Rhinolophus ferrumequinum: one gene and its partner. The protein of the gene in region 2 purifies or fractionates together with the protein of the main gene of each other region. This does not show direct contact. Links are inferred from orthologs where the notes say so. Each region holds a gene or a part of one and is shown on either strand. Other genes may lie near its edges.

Evidence for each region.
Region 1: the proteins of HTRA2 (region 2) and ARMC8 purify together in Homo sapiens (affinity purification with mass spectrometry; 5 studies listed by BioGRID and IntAct, with this or other methods). This does not show direct contact. The link is inferred for Rhinolophus ferrumequinum from reciprocal best matches to the Homo sapiens genes HTRA2 and ARMC8.

What each region holds. Positions count from the first base shown.
Region 1 is NC_046300.1:37,364,641-37,375,143, reverse strand, and holds the start of ARMC8 (armadillo repeat-containing protein 8), read right to left. Parts: upstream 4,284-10,503; 5' UTR 3,708-4,283; coding exon 3,663-3,707; intron 1-3,662. UniProt on the Homo sapiens protein: Component of the CTLH E3 ubiquitin-protein ligase complex that selectively accepts ubiquitin from UBE2H and mediates ubiquitination and subsequent proteasomal degradation of the transcription factor HBP1.
Region 2 is NC_046296.1:17,528,185-17,539,125, forward strand, and holds HTRA2 (serine protease HTRA2, mitochondrial), read right to left. Parts: upstream 4,133-10,941; 5' UTR 4,111-4,132; coding exon 3,605-4,110; intron 3,506-3,604; coding exon 3,301-3,505; intron 3,216-3,300; coding exon 3,021-3,215; intron 2,784-3,020; coding exon 2,715-2,783; intron 2,521-2,714; coding exon 2,415-2,520; intron 2,291-2,414; coding exon 2,221-2,290; intron 1,544-2,220; coding exon 1,448-1,543; intron 1,347-1,447; coding exon 1,181-1,346; 3' UTR 1,149-1,180; downstream 1-1,148. Other genes in the region: LOXL3 (lysyl oxidase homolog 3), read left to right, coding at 1-114, 201-312, 486-559; lipid droplet-regulating VLDL assembly factor AUP1, read left to right, coding at 4,490-4,539, 4,621-4,758, 4,838-5,368, 5,629-5,701, 5,796-5,869, 6,111-6,177, 6,275-6,377, 6,511-6,630 and 3 more; ATP-dependent RNA helicase DQX1, read left to right, coding at 8,281-8,574, 8,832-9,025, 9,413-9,797, 10,121-10,354, 10,443-10,542, 10,633-10,806, 10,896-10,941.

The DNA of each region.
Region 1 (10,503 bases), on a different chromosome or scaffold from region 2:
GGGTGAAGTATACACAGGAATCTCTCTGCAACTTCCTGTGACTCTGTAATTATTTCAAAAAGATTGTTTTTTAAAATGCAATTGATGTAAAAAATCATCCAACAGTTTGGGAAACATGAGAGAATTTATAAATTTGTTGAAAGGGGTGATGTAACGCTAAGTGCACACCAAAGGAGGATAATGGGTGATCATGGTGCAGCCTGGAAAGAGCTGGAGTTTGTCCAACTCCCCAAAATATAGTCCAATCAAACATTTATTGAGTACATAGTACATGAGGACAGTGCTATAAATAGTAGCAGGATTAAGAAAAATTAAATTAATTTACTCTCTAAGCAGATAAAATAGAGTAACTATTAAAGGCCTAAGAGTCTCTGAAAAAGCAGTTCCCTTTGCTTTTAGAAAAATAAAATGCTCTTCTATTTTTCTAGTTAATTCTTACTCATCCTTAACTCTCAGCTCATTGTCACATCTTCGGGGAAACCCTCCCTAACCTCACTGCCCTCCACCGTAGATCATATTCCCCTATTACCTGCTTATAACAGCACCCTATATTTTTCATTCATAACACTAACTGCCATTCATAAACAAAGAACTGTGTGACCATTTGAAATCTACTTCTCCTATTAGGCTAAAATCTCCAAAAGGGCAGACACAGGTCTGTGTAGCTCGCCACTGTATTCCCAAACCCAATGCCATGTAAATGACAGAAGCTCAAAGCATATCACGTGAATAAATCTATACAGAGCTATAATTCATGTGTACAAACAAGCAGGCTGACAATAAGAGTTACTGGGGTTTGGGTGAACCCTAGATCACTTCAACTTGAGAAAGCCAGTTTACAAGGGATGGAAGGTCCACATAGAGGATAAAGAATCTTACATCCGAAGCTGAGAATGAAATGTCAGCCCTTCAGCAATAAAAACCCATTAAAAAACTGAAAAAGGGCATGGCATATCCAATGTATTGTACAGAAAAATTAATGTAGAGAATGAACTTGAACTTGAACTGGGAGGGTAAGACACTCGAGGCAGTAAAAAATACTTGCAAGGACACTGTGGTAATGCAGGCCCAAAATGATAATGTTCTGAATGAGAGGGTGACCATGGGAACAGACAGATGTGAGAGACACCAAGAGTAACGAGCTAACAGAATGTAAGGACTGATTAGATACAGGAGCATGAAAAATGGAAAGAGCCAGAGATAATTCAAGGGGTTTACAGTAAGTTATCAGTTAAAGATACCATGTTTCCCCGAAAATAAGACCTAGCCAGATAATCAGCTCTAATGCGTCTTCTGGAGCAAAAATTAATATAAGACCCAGACTTATATTATAGCTGGTCTTATAATAAAATAAAACCAGGTCTTATATTAATTTTTGCTCCAAAAGACGCATTAGAGCTGATTATCTGGCTAGGTCTTATTTTCGGGGAAACATGGTAGTACCATTAACAGAAATGGGAAGTCATGACTAAGTCTTCTTAGGAGATGCAATGTGTTTTGTTGAAAGTGATGGATAACATCCAAACAACTGAAGACGTGACATTAGATGGACAAAAGTCAAGGCTGGCAATGTACATGTGTGAGTTGATCACAGTTATGGTCACAAGAGTGAATAAGACCACTAGAAGGAAGAACCTATAACAGGCCTTGAATAAAAACCCTTTAGAAACCATTTGATTTGCCCCTCACACGAATTCCGTTGAGCAGCGAGTCATTCAGACTGTGAGCTCCCTGAGAGGCATATCTGATCTCATCCTTGCATTCCCTAAAGTATATGTTACAGGGTGTTGTACATAACTGGTGCACAATAAGTACCCTATTAAAGAAATCAATTATTTTAAAGATAATTTGATTACTATTTCCTGTTCCACTTGCACGTTGAGTTTCAAAAAGTGACGCCCTGGGCAGTACTTTGAAATGAACAGGATTCACTTTAAATTAGTATAATCAGTGAGTTTTAAGTCACTTATTCAAATCTCTGATTTCCTAAGGCTCTAGGACTGAAGAATGGACAGACCAGACTTTTGGACTGTAAAAACTTAAAAAAAAATAAGAATAATAAAGCCCCCAATGAGACTAGGGCTAAAGTAAATCCCCACTAGAAGTAGAGAATACTCTTCAAGAAATTTTTTAATAAACTTAAACAGGAAATATTATTTACTGAAGGCATGAAACAAATCAAAATTTTCAATTGTATGCACTATACAAGTTAACAAAAATTAAAAAATTAAAGAAGCTTCAGGTGAAATAAAAGACAGAGGAAGTAAAAGGGAACTGAGAACAGTCAAGACACGTACTTTCTTAAAAAATGAGGGGAAAGTCGTTGGCCTGCTCTCCCACAAAACATTCCTGGCTATTATAGTCAGAGGTGGAGTAATCGGCTAATCTGATTCAATACTTAGGTGAACAGTATTCCCCTAGTTGCAGTTTAAAAGTAAGAAAAAGGACTGCTAAAGTGGATTAGGAGACAAATTTATTGACAGCTCCCCTCCCCAATTAAATTATCAAGGTTGCAGTATACCAAAATGCTCTAACCCTGAATGACAAGCAAATATCCTAGGTGCTTCAAGATATCTGAGTGTGTTTGTGGGAGAAGTTAGGGAAGAGAAAAGAAACCAGTTGGAGTCACAGACCCTAAGAATCTGACTAGTCGTCTGTAACCCAACTACCCCCTCAATATCAGACTGACTCTTCCAGAAGTCTAAAAGATGGTCAACCAGTGTTTGCCTGCTTGTTTCCAGCAATAGCAAATGGACCGTTGGTAAACGGATCACTCAGAGTTGGATGGATCTAATTTGTTCCAAAACCCTTCCAAGTTATCGCCCAGTAACTTTCACCTCTGGTACTGGTTCTCTCTAGAGTAACATAATGAAAGTCCTGTTTTGTTTTTATTTTTTATGCTAGGGAAAAAACACACACAAAAACTAGGTATTACTTCCTGGCATGTCAATACGTTCTCTTCTTTCAATAATAGGAAAATTTGATCTGTTGTTTCAACGTCTGACTCCCCATGAAGAAAAAAAAAAAGAAATGCTAGGCGAAGGTTCCTTTAGATTCAGAGCTGCGACCTCCAAAGTAAAGAAAAGGGACTTAAATGACTACATACACTGGGAGACGTTGCAACTGATATGAAATCCCCGTTGCCAAGAAGCTAGCTGCTCTAGCCCGTGCCCGGGTGCTGAGACGCGACAGAAGCCACACAGACCTGGCCTGGCATCTCGGAGGCTGTGGAGCCTGCACCTCTTCTTGCCAAAGCCTCGGGGGGCAGAGTGGGCGCTAGTTCTCAGGCCAGCGGCAAGCCCGGCGCCTTACAGGACAGAGCCCTGCGCCCCAGAGAAGCGGCACCACTAAGAGAAAGGCTCAGTGAAGCGCCTGGCAAAGCCAGAGCCGCGTCGCCAAGCCGGCTGCCCGTACGCCCAAGCACCCCACCCGCTGGACGCCGTCCTGAGAACCGGCACGGGTAGGAGCTCCGGGAGTTGGAGACGTCTCGGGCTCGGCCGGGGTTCCGTCTATCACTCCCGCCCACCCTCTCTCACACCCCGGCCCAAAGCTGAGCCGGAGGCGACCCTAAGGGGTGGTGCCCAGGAGACACGCTGCGTTTTGGGTGAATGCTGCGAGCCGGGCCCGAGCTCCCGGGTGGGCGGCTGCGGCGGGTCACTCACCGAGAGGACGCTCATGCGGATTGGGGTCTCCAACAGGCACGCCATCTTGAGCCTTCCCACCCGGCTACAGCCGGCGCCGGCGCGGGGGCCGGCACTTTCGACAGCGAACTCTTGGGCCAATGACAGACACCTCTGCAGAAAGTCGGGCAGGTAGATGAGAACGGAGCACGGTCTACACACCGCTGAAGTACGGCCAGGGCCCGCAGAAGGGAAAGCAAATGGAAACCGCGCCAGAAGCCTCCTTACGAATCGTCCTCTCAGAAACAGCAGCTACTCTCAGCCTGGGTTAGAGGTGGGAGCGGGCAGCAGTTTCCGCATGCGCAAGGAAGATCTGCCGGCCCCACCTGCCGCTCGCGGTGGGCGGAGCCTCAGGGGCGGGGCCTCGCTCTGGCGCTACGAGCCTCGCAGACTGGTTCGTAGCAGTTACGAGTTCGCGTATTCATATTACGCAAAACTGGTCTGTGGTGCCACATACATAATTTGAAATTCACTTTTACATTCATTATCGCTTTCTTTGCACCAAACTCCTAGTGTCATATGTCTACTTTACAGATGGAGAAACCGTGATCTCAGTACTAGGTCGTCTGCCACCAATGAGAGTGTTTCACGATCCAACACTGACGTTTGACCTGCTTTAGCATTGTCTGCCCTATCTGTTTATTCTGGTGGTGTGTTAAGAATAGATACTCTAGAGGCAGAACGCCGGGTTTAATCCTTTCTACTTCATTTATTAGCTGCATTACCTCCAGCAAGTTACTTAACCTCCTTTAAGTCAGTTTTCTGTTTTGAGGATGGAGAATATAAAGCTCTTAAAAGTAGAAAGCGTTATTATGTCAGCGTTTCTCTAGCCTCTGAGTCAAGCAGAAAAAAAAAATAGGGCAAATGTTGGAGTAATTCACACCAAAACGCTCCGATAACTGAAGCCAAATAAAAACATGCTTCTAATATAGTATTGTTGATTGATTAATTCAGCTCTCCACTCCGTGTGTGTGTGTGTGTGTGTGTGTGTGTGTGTGTATACAAAACTGCTCTGGACTTGGCTGGACAGGTTTCACCTCCGTGCTGTTTGCAACCAGTAAGGTTTTCACAGGATGGTTGCAATGAGCCTGTCACATTATTTGTCTTCCTTCCATTTCTATAGCCACTCCGTAATTCAGGCAGTTATTATCTCTCCCCTAGACTAGAGCAATAGCCTTCCAACTGATCCTGTAGACTCTAGCCTCTCCTTCACTTTACTCCTTACTACTTTCCTATCTTCCCCTGTACATGGTTTCTAAATTTATCATAACATTAATTATCCTTGCTTATGGGTTTGTGTGTCCCTAACAAACTGTTGAGTTTCTAGAAGGCAGGAATTTCTTTTTAGATTTTCCTTCTTCTACAGCACTGTTTCCCAAACTTCATTAATCTGCATACCATCCACACAATCTTTGCCAATCTGCATCCAGGTATTATTACTCAGTGTTTTTCTTTAAAGCCAATTTCAACTCATTAAATAAGCCTCATCCTAAACCGTAGTACTCTGTAAAGTCAAGTTTATTGTGTTGCTTATTTTTATTCTAGTACACATTAACATAATAACCACAAAAAAGTTAAAATGTCCATCCATGTATTACCTAAAATCATGTCATGTACTGCATACCACAACAGAGCAGAGCATAACACACAGAGGTATCAATTGAGTATTCAGTTGACATTTGTATGATATGGAGTTCTTCTAGCTGTATTTGATCCGCTTCATCCATTAGCTCAAGCAATGTATACCTCCGAGGTATAGGTTAGGTGACTCCTCCCCCATGTCTTCATGCATCTCTCTATTCTTGCCACTTGAACATAGCATCTCCAACGATATATTGTAACTTTTTTTGTAACCATTTATTTGTTTGTTTCCCAATTATACACTTTGGGGCAGGAACTAGGAATTTTACCTTCTAGATCTTTTATCTCACTACCTAGCATAGAACAGTCACTTAGTAAATGTTTGTTGAATGAAGTTTGGCTTAGTTTGGGCACCCCCAAAGGCAGATCCTGGGACAATGATTTTGGTGCTGATAGTTTGAGAAGTTTCTGTTTCCAGGGAACAGAACTGATGGGTAAAGAAGAATGAGAAAAGAAAGAAAAAAAGTCAATATCAAGGTTCATTGTTGAAGTCACTGCTTATTCCTTGAGGACCTCTGAGAAAACATACAGAATGCTCCCCTGAATATCCCTCTTGAGGTTGGAGCATTTATTCGCTACTCTTGTCTTGTACTGGTTGAGAGTTTTACCAGGGCTGTTAACTCCCTTCCCTCCTGAATTGTACTTGTGCACAGAATAGAGAGGACTTCCTTAACCTGATGTAGAAAAGCAGAATCTGTATGCTTGCTTTTGGGGTGGGATACAGGCAGCATGAATCTGAGCTTACAAAAGAACCATCATTACAGCTGTGGGTGAAATCAGAGTGAGGAAGGGCTAGGGAATGTGACTCAAGGCATCCAACATCTCTGCTACCCAGGCTTTCCTGTTTTATTTCCAGAAGACTGATGTGACTATTTTACAAGAAGGAAGCATTGATTAGCAAGTTCCTAACCTTGAGAATCAGGAATCAAAATTTGCTGCTACATAACCTTAGGTACACTCTTCAAACCTAAGTAATGAATAGAAATTGAGGGGGAGTAAGAGATTTTGATTCAGCCTCCACATACCAAAAACAAGAGTTAACTTTTGCCCTGTGGGGTGGAACGGGAAATATCCACACTGATTCCCCTGCAAATAAGAATGAAATTTCTCCCCATCCTCCCTTGACTCTTATCTGAAAGCAATATTAATTTTTGAAAAAATAATGAAAACAAAGGGTGAGTTTAATTTTTTTTTAAAAAAGTAGAAATGCAAAACATTAAGTAGCCAGAAAGAAATCTGAAAAGTATTTATAAATATCTAAATGGAACTGCCAAGATAAAGAAACAGCACCATATTTTTGAAAGTAGAAACATACCTATGCAAAAGGAGCAAAACTTAAAAGTGTAGAAAGGTAGATGTAAACCAAAAACTGAATGGCCTCAAAGGAATTTAGAAGAACCTTTAAAAAGATTTGAAGACAAAGGAGCTTCTTCAAATAAATAAAAAAGAAAATGGACTAAGATATCTATAGAAGCGATATAGTTCAGTTCAACAGACATGAACTGTGGGTTTACCTGTGCACACATTGTATGAGGGATTCAAAGTGGAGTCGAGATGTGGTTTCTGCCTTCAAGCAGACAGGAATAAAAGTGAGACCCTGAGTGGTCCAATAATTAGCTTAAGGTTGCTCAGGGGGTAAGAGGCTAAAACCATTTGAATCCAGGCTTCTCTGTTTCAAAGTCCTTCCCAGAGCTCTTACAGTCCTCTGGGATCCTACAGGACTCTCCCACATGGGACAACTGAGCACTCACCTGAGTAACCAGCCAGTTAGAAAAGTCTACAAGGGCTTTGCAATGGGAAACAATGCATCCATAATTCATCAGGTGCTTGGAGGATGTAAAATATGTATATGTATAAAGCAGAAGTAGTAAGCTGTTGAAAAGCCTTTTTTATTTTTTAGAAACTACAGTAAAAAAGGAAAATGATTTTAAAAAAATAACTGAATTACTGTTAAGGTAGAATTCCAAATTCCAAAGATAGATGCGATGATGGAATTTGGAAGCCATCACTTGACAACCATATGAGTTATAGTCATATCAGGCAAGGCTCATCAACGGATGCTAAAACTAATTGGTGAAAATATGGTGAGAAACAGGATTATGTGTACAGCCTCAAAGTATCTCCTCACAAGTTACTAATGATAGTAGAGAAACTTGATAGATACCGCTTTATTCAGATGATTATAATGAATATCACGAGTAATGGGATAAATAGACACCATCATATGATGCACTGAGAAGGACACAACATCACTTCTGTGGTATTCCTGTCACAAATGCACGCGTGCAATCATGAGGAAATATCAGCAAACCCCAACGGAGGGACAGTCTACAAAATTACACATCCTTCAGCATTGCTGTGACAGACAAAAACTGAGGAATTCCTCTAGATTAAAGGAGACGAAAGTGGTATGAGTACTAAATACAACTTGTGATCTAGGACTGAATCCTGGGTAAGTGAAAACATTTTTCTTTTTGCTGCAAAGGACATCAATGGCAAAATCTGAACAAAATCTGTAGATGAGGTATCATTGTTAATGTCCTCGTTGTGATAATTATATTATTGTTAGGAAGGTAATGCCCTTGTTCTGAGGAATTACAAGGGGAAGAATTTAAGTGTAAACAATATTGAGTTGCTGTGGATTAAGCAATTATTTTTTCTTTAACAATGAAAAACGGAACACATTTTGAGAATTTAAAAAAGAGAGAGAGGACTAAGGATCCTGGAAATTTATTCATTCGAGAAAATATATATACTGGATACTTACTATGTGCCAGCCACTGTGCTCAGAAGTGGTAATACAATCATGAGCAAGATAGACACCTTCCCTGTTCTCACAGAGCTCCCAGGCAAAAGGTAAAGAGAGACAAGTGAACAAATCATTAAATGTGGTATGATAAGTTAAAGGGTATGAGACGAAGGGAAACCTCAGCAGGAGTGAAGTCACAGGAAGTCCTTCTGGTGCAGGCAGCACCCAAGCTCTGACCTGAAGTATAAACAGGAGCAGACCACGCAAACCCTGTGTGCTACTCTACATAGACTCTGGCTTGTCCATAAACATTAATCGAATTGAACAATTAAGACACCACTTCTCTATACTTAGATGTGGGAACTCTTATAGAGAAAAATCACAGGCCCAAAATGGCATCACTGGTGATAAAAGCCAATGACACCAAACCTAGAGTTAATACCCGATCTAATTGCAGTTTTATCCTCTCCCAGAAATGTAATCTTAATCAAATCATCTGGAATTTTCTGGTCAAACACCAGTAAGGTAATCTTTGGGCCCTCAAAGAAAGGCCCCATTCCCCCAAAGACAGAAGAGGCAATACGCATGATAAAAACTCTTGCTTTTTGTTGTCTTCTCCCCAAAAAAGAAGACGTCTGGTCTAAAAATAATCCTTTCTTTTCTTTTGTCTATAGCGCTCTTGCCCTACCCTTCTTCCAATAAAAACCTTCCTTCTGTACAACGACTTGGAGTAATCTTACAGGTGCTAGATGGCATGCTACTCTTCAAATTTACTCAGTTGAATTTTGTGTTTTAACAAAACACTGGCAATCCTACAAAATTAGTGCAAAGACAAGAGCTCCAATTATTTATAGGAAAAGAGACACTATAAAATCAGCAGGTCTTCACATGGCTATATAATCTGGATTGCCCAGGTAATAAAAAGACACCCCTTCCCACCCCAAAGCAATGGTGACCACGTTACGCTGATGTGTTTCAAAATGGAGAAGCAAAGATAACAAGGTAGGCAAAGTAAATCTGATCTTTTCACGATTTATAATACAGGAATGGAATCTGGAAGTCTTAAAACCTATAAAGGAGAGATATTGTGTGTGTGTGTTTTCTGATGAAATCAGAAAGTCCAGTGAAATATCTAACAAGTTTCCGATTCAGAGGCTAGAGACACCACACAGAATTCTTAGGCCTCTGTGATATTTGCCTCCATTCAGTTTAGTTTCACCACCACAGACGGGATCTCTCCTTCAATGGTTTTACTTAGTGTGCTGCCATCAGGTGGTGGTAGCTGCCATAATCACCTACGTAGTTCTATTATAAAATGCAGATAGTAAGGATGGTGTTTTTCCTGATGTTTGTAACATTTTATAACCTGACTTAAAAATTTATTGCCCAAAATTTCCATTTTTCACTCCCTTAATCATAAAGGTTTCTGCTCAATTATGTCACCTTAAAAGCATGGTCTTCCATAACCACCCTATATTCATTCATTAAGTACTTAATATACTGGGTACCTACTATGTGCCAGGCACTGTGCATTTCTTATCCCCTTATTCTGCTATATTTATTTAATTTTTTTTAATGTTTTTGTTGGGGAATGTTGGGGAACAATGTGTTTTTCCAGGGCCCATCAGCTCCAAGTCAAGTCATTGTCTTTTAATCTAGTTGTGGCTCAGCTCCAAGTCCAGTCGCCGTTTTCAATCTTTAGTTGCAGGGGGCACAGCCCACCATCCCATGTGGGAACTGAACCAGCAACCTTGTTGTTGAGAGCTGGTGCTCTAACCAATTGAGTCATCCGGCCGCCCCTCTGCTTTATTTTTAATCATCCATCTTTTAAACAAAGTTCTTCCTTTCTGTGTCCTTTATTTTTATCCAACTCTTATTTGGCTGAATTTCACTGTCAAGTCACTTTTTTCAAGAAGGGCCCATGAGTATTGTCTTCCTGGAGGTTTTTGTTTTGTGTAGTTTTGTTTTATGGTTGAAAGCATCTGTTTATTGCCTTTTACTTTAACAACACCTTGACTACTACAAGGTACAGTAAACCAGAACCCATTCTAGGTATTTTAATCAAAAAGATTACAAAATTGCTGGAAGGACTAAAGATGCAAACAAGGAGGGAATATTTTACTTGAGATCAGAAAAGCAGGAAGTTCACCACCACAGAAGGAGTTTGGAGTGTGCAGCTGCCATCACCATTGCCAGAGCCAGCAGAGCAAAGAATCCTTTCTTTTACCTATAATTTCTGACAAGAAAACCATTCTCTGAGGCTCTAAATTAAAATATAGTGGCCGGAGAGTGAGAGAAAAGAACAGTTAGCCTATTGCTAGCGATGGACTGGCTCTGACAAGTCCTGTCACCCCAGGAGCCTCCACTTCTTATTTACACACGAATTTTCCAATCTGCTGCCCACAGCTAATTCACAGGAGCAGACACCTCTTC
Region 2 (10,941 bases):
GCCAACTTTGGCGAGCAGGGCATCACCGTGGGTTGCTGGGATCTCTACCGGCATGACATTGACTGTCAGTGGATTGACATCACAGATGTGAAGCCAGGAAACTACATTCTGCAGGTGCCTGGGGTTTGAGATGGCCTGCTGTTGAGGGAGGAGTATTTATTAAAGACACCTTTGGATCATGTTGCCTTTCTCCCGCTCAGGTGGTCATCAACCCCAATTTTGAAGTGGCAGAGAGTGACTACACCAACAACGCGATGAAATGTAACTGCAAATACGACGGCCACCGCATCTGGGTGCACAACTGCCACCTTGGTATTTGGTGGGCAGAGCAGCAGGAAGACTGGGGGATGGGAGGGAAAGGCCTCATTCTCTTCTTGTTGCTGTGCATTCCCCCCGACCTCCGGAGCCCCCAGCCTGTCCACCTCTACCCCCGCTTCCCCTCAGTGGGTCTGTTCTCCTGCCCAAACTGCCCATTCACCTTGCAGATGATGCCTTCAGTGAAGAGGCCAACAAGAGGTTTGAGCGCTACCCTGGCCAGACCAGCAACCAGATCGTCTAAGGTGCTACCGCCCACCTCTGCAAACCACCACTGGCCCCTAATGGCGGGGGTCTGAGGCTGCCATTACCTCAGGAGCTTACCAAGGAACCCCTGATGTCAGCAGGGCCGCCACACTCGGCCGGTGTGCGCTATGGATGTGGAGCTGTCAGGCAGAAGTTACCGCCCTCCTTCCTAGGCCAGCTGTCTGGATCTGTGGCCACACATGGGGAATCCTGGCTCCCAAGCCCAGCGCTGAGCTGAGCAGGCCACAAAGAGCAGCACCTGATTAACTGGCCAGAACGAAAGCAGCAGCAGCTCATTCTCTTGAAGAGGGAGGTCAGAATGGTCAGCTGCAGTATCTCCCCAGTTCAGGAGTATACAGCTTTACCTCTAGCCTTTGTGTGGGGAAGAAGATCAGCGCCTGCCCCCTCATTTTTGACTATAACATGTTGCTAGGTATAATTTTATTTTATATAAAAAGTGTTTTTGTGATTCCTCGGAGCCCAGGGATTGGTGCTGGTGGTTGAAGGGACCTGCCCCCCACACTGGTTCATTTAATCCTCTGTCCAGGTGCCCTCAGAGCCTAGGCCAAGAAAGCAAAGTGGAAATCAGAGCAACAGCCTAATACTCTTGCTGATCCATTCATTCTGTGACTTCAGGGGTCACATATAAGGTCAATGTTTCCGGTCCCCGCCGGATCCGCACTGCCAGCTGGGATTGGGTTCGAACAGCTTCATAAATATCTTCAGCATTTTGTACCAACTGCTCCCCAATGGCCAAGATCACATCGCCCGGCCGCAGACCAGCCCTATGGCGAAAGGTGGACAGAGAGAAAGGAGGGAATAGATACCCCAGTTCAAGGGTACATGCGTGTCTCCGCCCCCCACCTCAGTGCAGTGTCTCCCTCACCGGTGTGCAGGGGAGTCCAGGATAACTTTATGGATGAGCACGCCGTGCTGAACATCAGGAAAGCTTGGTTCTCGAAGCTGTAGTTCAGCAAGGATGCTGGAAAGACACAGACCACCCTGTTATCCACACCAAGATGCCCTCTCCATCTCAGGTTCACCTCAAATCTCTCGTCAACACACTGACAATTGTATGCACTAGGTACTCCAGATAGTCAATTCATTTTCTGCCTTCTAGTAGTTAGGAAGTGGGACGTGTATACAAAAGTTACCTAATTCCAAATGACACAGTGTTAAATCAATAGCACGAATCTCATTCTAAAATCCTAAGAGAAGCTTTAAGGAGGGAGTAGAACTGAAGCTGAGCCTAGAAGGATGGGTCTGATATTTAAATATATAAAACAAAAACAACAAAAATAAAAACCTGGGAGTAGGAAATCAGGTTGGCTGAAACAGAATACATTCATGTTAAGAAGCCAGGTCAGGAAGGTTGAATTGGAGACAAATGGAAAATGGCCCCTAAACACCAGGTTAACAGATTGAAGGTTTTAAATCAAAGCAGTAATAGGATGAAATCAATCTGGTGGCAGGTGTGCAAAATGCAGCGTGATGAGAAAGTCAAGATGACAAGAGAGGACAGCTCTTCGGATAGCTCCAAGTGTGAGGCAATTCACCACAGATAAACACAGAATTGAGAACAAAGCTCAAATGAAGTGGCAAATGCACACGACTGAGTACACTGATGGTCCTATGTGTCATTATCCTTAAAGCTCATACCTGGGAGTCAAGGTCAACATCATCACCCCAATGTATCGGCGCTGGGACCCACTGATTCCAAACCAGGAATCTATGATAAAGAGAAAAATGAGCCCCACCCAGCTACATTCTTCCTTCCCCTCCCTCTCCTCCCAATACACCCCTCTCCAGCAAGGCCCCATGAATGCCCTTCCCACAACTTAAGCCAGGCTCACTCTTCTTTTCCCCACGATGCAGAAACTCTCGAAGGCGATCAGAAGGGATGGCAAAGGAGATTCCAGCTGTGACCTTCATGGTATTCACCCCGATCACCTCCCCATCCTGCAGGGACAGAGCCCACTGTTCCCTAGCCCAAACAAATAGTTGGAGATGGGGGTACCTGAACAAGAGTAGCAGGGAGTGTTGGGGAGTTTAGGAGATCTGGTTGGGTTCTGGGAGGTAGCCAACAAGGGACTGTTCAGAAACTTGACCAAACATCATTGAATTAGGGAAAACCCACCCCGACCCACACTGACCTGGGCAGGGATTCTTGGAAAGGATGACCCACTCACCAAGTTAACCAGGGGACCTCCAGAATTTCCAAACTGCAGGACAAGGAGAAAATATGGAAAAGATCCAGGGATTCTTATGCCTGGGGGCATAACCAGGATGTAGGCATTTTCTCCAAATTCTTTTCCCAGCCTATGAATGAGTGGCCACATTTTTGTAGCTCAACCTGAATATATAGGCTCATCCACCGTCTCTCCCACTTGGTGCCTGCACCACACAGTCTATACCCCTCCCCCAACCTAGACTGTCAATTCTCTCATATCAGGACGCACATCAATAGCTGCATCAGTCTGGATGTATTCCACATTGGTTTGGGGGAGGCCTAGGTCTCTGGCTGGACGCTGAGCAGAGCTGACAATGCCAGATGTGATCGTGTTCTGCAGTGCAAACGGACTTCCCATGGCAACAACAAACTCCCCTTGCCGGACATCCGCTGAGCGTCCCAGGGGCAGTGTGGGGAGAGGTTCCTACGGGAGAATGGGTACAAGGGACCTGTCACCTGGCGATGCAAGCAAACAGCCCCAACCAGACCCGGCCTGCTCGGATCCCCACCTTGGTCTGAATCCTCAGCGTGGCGATGTCTGCCACGGGATCCACAGCTGTGACCATGGCCTCATACGTGTCGCCGCTAGGCAGCCTCACACGGACTCGGCGCCGATCAGCTACTACATGGGCGTTGGTAACGATGAGCCCGTCAGCAGCCACCACGAATCCTGAGCCATTCGAGATAGGCACTTCGCGGCCTGAGAAAGGGTGCCTGGGATAGGGGGAAGGCACGGTGAGGAGCTCGTACCCCTCCTGCTCGCCCGCCCTCTTGCCCGCGGCTTCGGTGCCTCCAGAACTACCCCACCGTTACCGGCCCAAGATCTCGATATAAACCACGGCAGGTGCCGTCTTCTCCACCACGTCTGCGATGAAGTTGTACTGGCTCCGGGGAGAGGTGGGTGGCGAGCCAAGGACAGAGGCAAGGACAGCCGGGGAACCCCGACCCCCGCCCCACAACAACAGCAGCACTGCTCCTCCAGCGCCCAGTGCCACCGCTAGCCACACGCGCGGACGGGCTCCAGGGTTCCCTGAGTTCTCCCGGGTCTGGGGACTTGGGGTCCCCGCAGTCAGCCGTGCTCGGGAATCCGAAATCCCGGACGTCAGGCATGTCCGTGGTCCAGGGACCCCTACAGACAACCGGACCCGGAGCCTGGAAGTCCCATAAGTCATTAGGGCCCGAGGATCAGGAGTTCCTGACATCAGTAGGGCCCGGAGGTCAGGGGTCAACAGGGGTCCCTTCCCCCAGCGAACCCCCCCCAAAGCCCGCCATCCCCAGAGTCTCCAGCCTGCACCCCGCCCCGCCCTCAGTGCAGCCATCAGCTCCGCCTCGGCTGCCTCCTCGCCCGCCCTACACAGAGGCGGCGCCCTGGATGGACGTGAGCTGGCGGACCGTGGGACGCGTGGCACGCTGGTACCTGAAGTCCTCTAGAAGTGCACGCCGGGACCCGGATTATTCCGGGAGGCCGACTCCGCCCCCGCCCCGTGAATGCCGGGAATTGTGGTCTCTGAGGGACGCGAGCACTGAGGTGTCCCAAGGGCCCGCGAGGCATGCTGGGGCCGCTAGCCCTTCCGGGGCGCCTCAGGATTTCGGGTCCTGGCACCCGAGGCCCACGCCGGAAGACTCCTCCTTCCCAGAAGCCCCTGCGGCGGGGCACGAAGATGGCGGCAGTGACCAAACACCCCTAAAGCAGCCGCGATGGAACCTCCCCCGGCACCGGGGCCGGAGCGGCTCTTTGACTCGCACCGGTAAGACTCCCGGCGGGAAGAGGCCGGCTCCCGCGTCCACTCGGCCTTCGGCCGCCCGATCACCCCACCTCTTGCCCCCAGGCTCCCGGGTGACGGCTTCCTGCTCCTAGCGCTGCTGCTCTACGCGCCCGTCGGGTTCTGTCTCCTTGTCCTGCGCCTCTTTCTTGGGATCCACGTCTTCCTGGTCAGCTGCGCGCTGCCAGACAGCGTCCTTCGCAGGTTCCGACCCGGGAGCTCGGGGAGGGTCAAGGCTGGGCCGGGCCGACGGCCGTGCAGTCAGCACTGCCTGCGTCCCCAGGTTCGTGGTACGGACCATGTGTGCGGTGCTAGGGCTCGTGGCCCGGCAGGAGGACTCCGAACTCCGGGATCACCGCGTCAGGGTCCTCATTTCCAACCACGTGACACCTTTCGACCACAACATAGTCAACCTGCTCACCAGCTGTAGTACCGTGAGTGGGGGGCGAAGCCGAGAGTGCCACGGGCAGTTCCCTGGGGCCCAACATAAGGCTTCCCTCTGCCCGCCCGGGCTTCCCTTGGGGACCACGAGATACTGCGCCTTAACGCTAACCCCGCTTCTCTACCCCAGATGTCAGTTTTTATCACTTCCCAACATTCTTCTTGCTTTCTCTCTTCCCTGTTCCCAGCCTCTACTCAATAGTCCTCCCAGCTTTGTATGCTGGTCTCGGGGCTTCATGGAGATGGATGGGCGGGGGGAGTTGGTGGAGTCACTCAAGAGATTCTGTGCTTCCACGAGGCTTCCCCCTACCCCTCTGCTGCTATTCCCAGAGGAAGAGGCCACCAATGGCCGGGAGGGGCTCCTGCGCTTCAGGTGGGTGAACGAACACAGGTATTTGACTCTGACTGGGTAGGTGGTCAGGCGTGGGGGGCCCTTGGGTTTTTCACACTTCTTCAGCCCTACCCCCTCCATTTCTAGTTCCTTTCTGTCCACTTTTGGTTCCTTCCCCTGAATCCCTATATTCCTCATTCATCTACTTGGTACACAGTTTGACAGTTTTCTGTTTTAAGTTAGATATGAGCTACTAACTGGACTGGCTGAAATCCCGTCCTATTCTCTCTTCCCTCTTCTAGTTCCTGGCCATTTTCTATCCAGGATGTGGTACAGCCTCTTACCCTGCAAGTCCAGAGACCTCTAGTCTCTGTGGTGAGTGTGTCTTGGATAGGGACTCCCCGGGGCTTTGGGATGAAGCTTCCCAGTCCCGGCCTGACTTAGACCTCACTTCGTGCTTTCCCCTCAGACAGTGTCAGATGCCTCCTGGGTCTCAGAACTGCTGTGGTCACTGTTTGTTCCTTTCACGGTGTATCAAGTAAGGTATTAATTGTCTTCACTTTTTGGTGGCTGGGAAAAGCTCACCTCAAGATCAAGGAAGTAGTTGCCTCTGCCCTATCCATTTGCAGATCTTTTTAATATCAAGTTTCCAACACAGAGGCAGTACAAAGTATTTATTCTCTCCCCACCCTCACCACCATAGTTCCATGAAAAGAGGAATCAAAGTGGGGAAGAGGGTGACTGCCCCAGCTGCCCTCAACATAGCCCTGATTGTTTTTTTCAGGTGGCTCCGTCCTGTTCATCGCCAGCTGGGAGAGGGGAATGAGGAGTTTGCCTTCCGTGTACAACAGGTGGTAGCATACAGAAGCAGGCTGGAGGTGGGGTCTCTCCTTAGACGGGGAGGAAGGCTTGAAACCTTGACATTTCCAACCTTCCAATTCTTCCTAGCTGGTGGCCAAAAAATTGGGCCAGACAGGAACACGACTCACTCCAGCAGACAAAGCAGAGCACATGAAGCGGCAAAGACATCCTAGATTGCGCCCCCAGTCAGGTGTGTGGTCGCTGTACACAAAGCTTTTCGTTTTTTTCCCAGCCTATTATGATTTCTTCCCTATTCCTGTACTAGTCAGACTCTCCTTCCTACTCATTCTCCATTCACCATATTTCGGATTTCTTTTTTGCAGCCCAATCTTCTTTCCCTCCCTCCCCGGGCCCTTCTCCTGATGTGCAGCTGGCAACTCTGGCTCAGAGAGTCAAGGAGGTTTTACCCCATGTGCCACTGGTCGTCATCCAGAGAGACCTGGGTATGGGAAAGGGTAGCCTCACAAAAGAAGACAGGGACAGAGAGGACAAATGGGTGGTGAGGGAAAAGGATGAACAGCGCAACAGATCCCCTTTCCTCCTTCCCTTCTCCCCAGCCAGGACTGGCTGCGTAGACTTGACCATCACCAATCTGCTTGAGGGGGCTGTAGCTTTCATGCCTGAAGACATCACTGAGGGGACCCAGTCCCATCCCGCAGCCTCTGCCCCCCAGGTGAGACCCAGGAAATGGTCCGATCCAAGACTTGGGGTGGGATGGGGCACTCTACATACTCCCTATCCCTGATGTCTCTTTTTTGATCCTGAGACCCTAGCCCAGTGCCTCTCTTGCAAAGTAGGCATTCGATGCGTGTTTAATGATGATGACTTCGCAAGCCCTCTGACATTGTGATCACCTCAGTTTCCCAGCTCTGGCCCGGTGACCCCTCAGCCCACAGCCCTAACATTTGCCAAATCCTCCTGGGCCCGGCAGGAGAGCCTACAGGAGCGCAAACAAGCACTATACGAATACGCAAGAAGGTGAGGGGCTTCGAGGACAATGGGTAGGAAGGGGCAGGTTGGAGAAGGAAGCTAATTACAGAACTACTATGACAAAGCCCACACAATGTCTTCTCCCTATGTCCCACAGGAGATTCACAGAGAGACAGGCCCAGGAGGCTGACTGAGCACAGGATGGTACCCAGAGCCGCAGGACGGAGACTGGGGGCAGCCCTCACCCAACTCACAACAGGCCTGATGGGTGGGTGGTAGAAAGGGAGGGATGGGCCTGCCCCCAGTGTCACATTAAATTCAGGGTTTTCACTCAAGGTCTCTGTTGCCTCTCTGGGTCTCAAAAGCCTCCTGAGCACGTTCCTTTTCCCTTGGTGGGGGGGGGGATAAGGTGGTCCTTGTAGGACTGTGGGGGGATGGTCAGAATGGAACTGTCTGAAATCACCTCCTCGTGTCAAAATGAGTGATATTAAGGAAGTGTAACAACTGAAGACCAAGCAGCAACTGGACCTAACTGGGGTGTTCAGCCCAGGTTTGTGCAGAAATAGCAGCAAAACTACACGTCCCAGGATGCCTTTTACAGTACATGGTGTCTGTAAAGTTAACACATGCTCAGTCGTTGCTGGAGCCTGTTTTCTATAGGCTCCTGACTAGGTTAAATAAGGTGGAGCAAATGGTTCCACCCCAGAACCAGTCTTAAGAATTATGTTTGAGCCAAGCCCCAGGGTGGGGCCGGAACTTACCTTTGTACTTAGCGCTGGTCAAGGTTGGTGGGAACTGGCTGGGCGGGTCTGGAACTGGCTGCCATCGGGACACGTCTCAGAGCTGCAAGCAGGTTTGAATCCAGGATCCTTGTGGCCCTGCTCCTCAATTCCAGCCCCTTATTCCTTTTCCTATTCCCTCCCACCCCCAGGGACCTTCCCACGGGTCTCACATAACTCCTGTTGCCGCTGAATTACAGAGATTCACAGAGAGACCCAGGATTTGTACTACCTGGCTACAGGTTAATAGTCCCTTTTGATAGTCCCTTACTTGGAGACTCAATTCTCCACCGTTTCCTGGCAGGCAAGAAATGCTGGAAAGAATGGATTCCAGTGCATTACCAGCTGAGGGTACACATTAGGGATCAGGGCTGAGGTGGTAAGATGGTACAAGGTTTTAATGACTACCCCACCTTCTGTAGGTCCTGCCAGTCAGCCACCATGGCCTCTCAGCTTCTCAGGCTGGCAGAAGAGTCTGGCCTGAGCCCTGGGGAGTCTGAACTGGCTGTGAACCCTTTTGACGGGCTCCCCTTCTCTTCCCACTACTACGAGCTTCTTGAGCAGCGCCGAGCCTTGCCTATCTGGGCTGCTCGCTTTATCTTCTTGGAGCAATTGGAGAGTAGCCCCAGTGGAGTGGTACTGGTGTCTGGAGAGCCTGGCTCTGGCAAGAGCACCCAGGTGGGGGGGGGGGATTCTGGGAGTAGACAGGAGGGAGGGGCCAGGGAACTGGCCCTTCCCTGGCAAGCGGGGATTGGGCTGCCAGGGATTATGGGGGAGGTGGGCAAAGGGAGTCTGTTAAGGCTGGCCCCAGGGTGGTAAAGGACCAGGACACTCCCCCCAGAAAGAAGACATTAAACTGGCCATAGCTCCCCTAGCACTTCTGACTGAAGTCCTGTGTCTCGCTGACTGATTGTCCTTCCCTACCCCTACCCCAGATTCCTCAGTGGTGTGCAGAGTTTGCGCTGGCCAGGGGGTTCCAGAAGGGCCGGGTAACTGTCACTCAGCCCTACCCTCTGGCAGCCCTGAGTCTGGCCCTGCGGGTTGCTGATGAGATGGACCTGACCCTAGGTCATGAGGTTGGATATAGCATCCCCCAGGAGGACTGCACTGGTCCCCACACCCTGCTCAGGTGAGGCCTCCTACAGGCCCAACCCACATCTAATTCCCCTTACCCACTAGGAATAAGCCCAGTCCTCCAACGTCGCGCCATACTCCCCCTCAGCCCAGCTCACCCTTTAAATCATGCATTATGCAACACGGAAGCCCTTTAACCCCAGCCCACCTCATTCATCTTCACCGTCATCACAAGTCTCCCTTTCCCAGCTGGAGTACAGCTTACGCACAGTGTTAGTGAGGTTGTGGGTCACTGTTACAGGTCCACAGGCTTAGGAATCCGGTCAAAAGGTCTTTCTGACCTTCACTATCAAAATCTAGGCCCCCTAGGGAGAAGTTCCCCTGACTTCTGGGGCTGGTCAGTGTCCACACTGACTCCTCTGCTCACTGTCAACATCAACAGATTTTGCTGGGACAGGCTGCTTCTTCAAGAGGTGGCCTCGACCCGGGGTACTGGAGCCTGGGACGTGCTGGTGCTGGATGAGGCTCAGGAGCGGTCAGTGGCCTCAGATTTACTCCAGGGGCTGCTGCGAGATGCCAGGCTGGGAAACCTTCCAGACGACCCCCGAGTGGTTGTGGTTACTGACCCAGCCTTTGAACCTAAGCTCCAAGCCTTCTGGGGCGATCCTCCTATTGTACATGTACCCAGAGGGCCTGGTAGGTGTCCCACTCCCATCTACAGGGACACTGTCCCTACTGATCGAGTGGAAGCTGCCTGCCAAGCTGTGCTTGAATTGTGTCGGAAGGAGGCTCCAGGAGACGTGCTGGTGTACCTGCCCAGTGAGGAGGTAAACAGGCTGCCGCTTATGCCGTCTTCCTGTCCCGGGGAATGGGAGCACTGCTTGTTAGGAACACTGAAGTTCTAATATTCACTCTCTGTTGGGGTTCCAAGGGAAAACTCATGGATTTCAGGGTTAAGAGGTCTACCCCCCTCTCTGATTCCGTCTAATGCAGAGATTTGTGATTCAGTGAATTCCTGAAATTATAATTCCCCCAACTTTGAGGTTGTGCATTTTTTCAGAGTGAAAGGCCATAGCTTTCATCAGTTTTTCAAAGGGGTCTGTGATCCAAAAAGGTGAGAACTGCACTAATGCCCCACCCCTCTCCTCAGGAAATTTCCCTGTGCTGTGAATTCTTGTCCAGGGAAGTGGGGACCCTGGCTGTCCCAGGGCTTCCACCACGGGTGCTGCCCCTTCACCCAGGCCATGGTCAAGCCGTTCAGGCTGTGTACGAGGACACAGACTCGGGTGCCCGAAAGGTTGTGGTCACTCACTGGTTGGCTGACTTCTCCTTCTCCCTCCCTTCCATCCGACATGTCATTGACTCAGGACTGGAGCTTCGAAGCGTGAGTGACAGAGATGATGGGGTGTGGGGACTTACGATACAAATGGCCCGCTCTGATCTGTCTTGGCCTTGGTTGGGGGTGGTGACAGGTGTACAATCCTCAGATCCGAGCAGAATCCCAAATGTTGAGGCCAATCAGCAAGTGTCAGGCAGAGGCAAGACAATTGCGGGCAAAAGGGGCCCCTCCAGGTAAGAGCCTTTGCTCTCGTTGAGATCAAACACGAAAACAGTAACCAATACACAAGCCTTGAAAAATCTACAGTGGTCTTCTCTCCCAAGTCTTTCTCCCCTCAGGATCCTGCCTCTGCTTGTATCCTAAGTCCTTCCAAGAACTAGAGGCTCCTCCACTGCCCCAACCCAGGGTGTGTGAGGAAAATCTGAGCCCCGTGGTATTACTACTAAAGAGGAGGCAGATTGCAGAGCCAGGGGACTGTCACTTCCTGGACCGGCCCGGTGAGCACCCCTCCTGCCCAAGTCCTGCCCACCAAATCTGACCATCAGGCTCTGAGACTCCCGCCCTATAAACCCTGTTTCCTCACCAGCTCCAGAAACATTGATGCAGGCCCTGGAAGACTTAGACTATCTGGC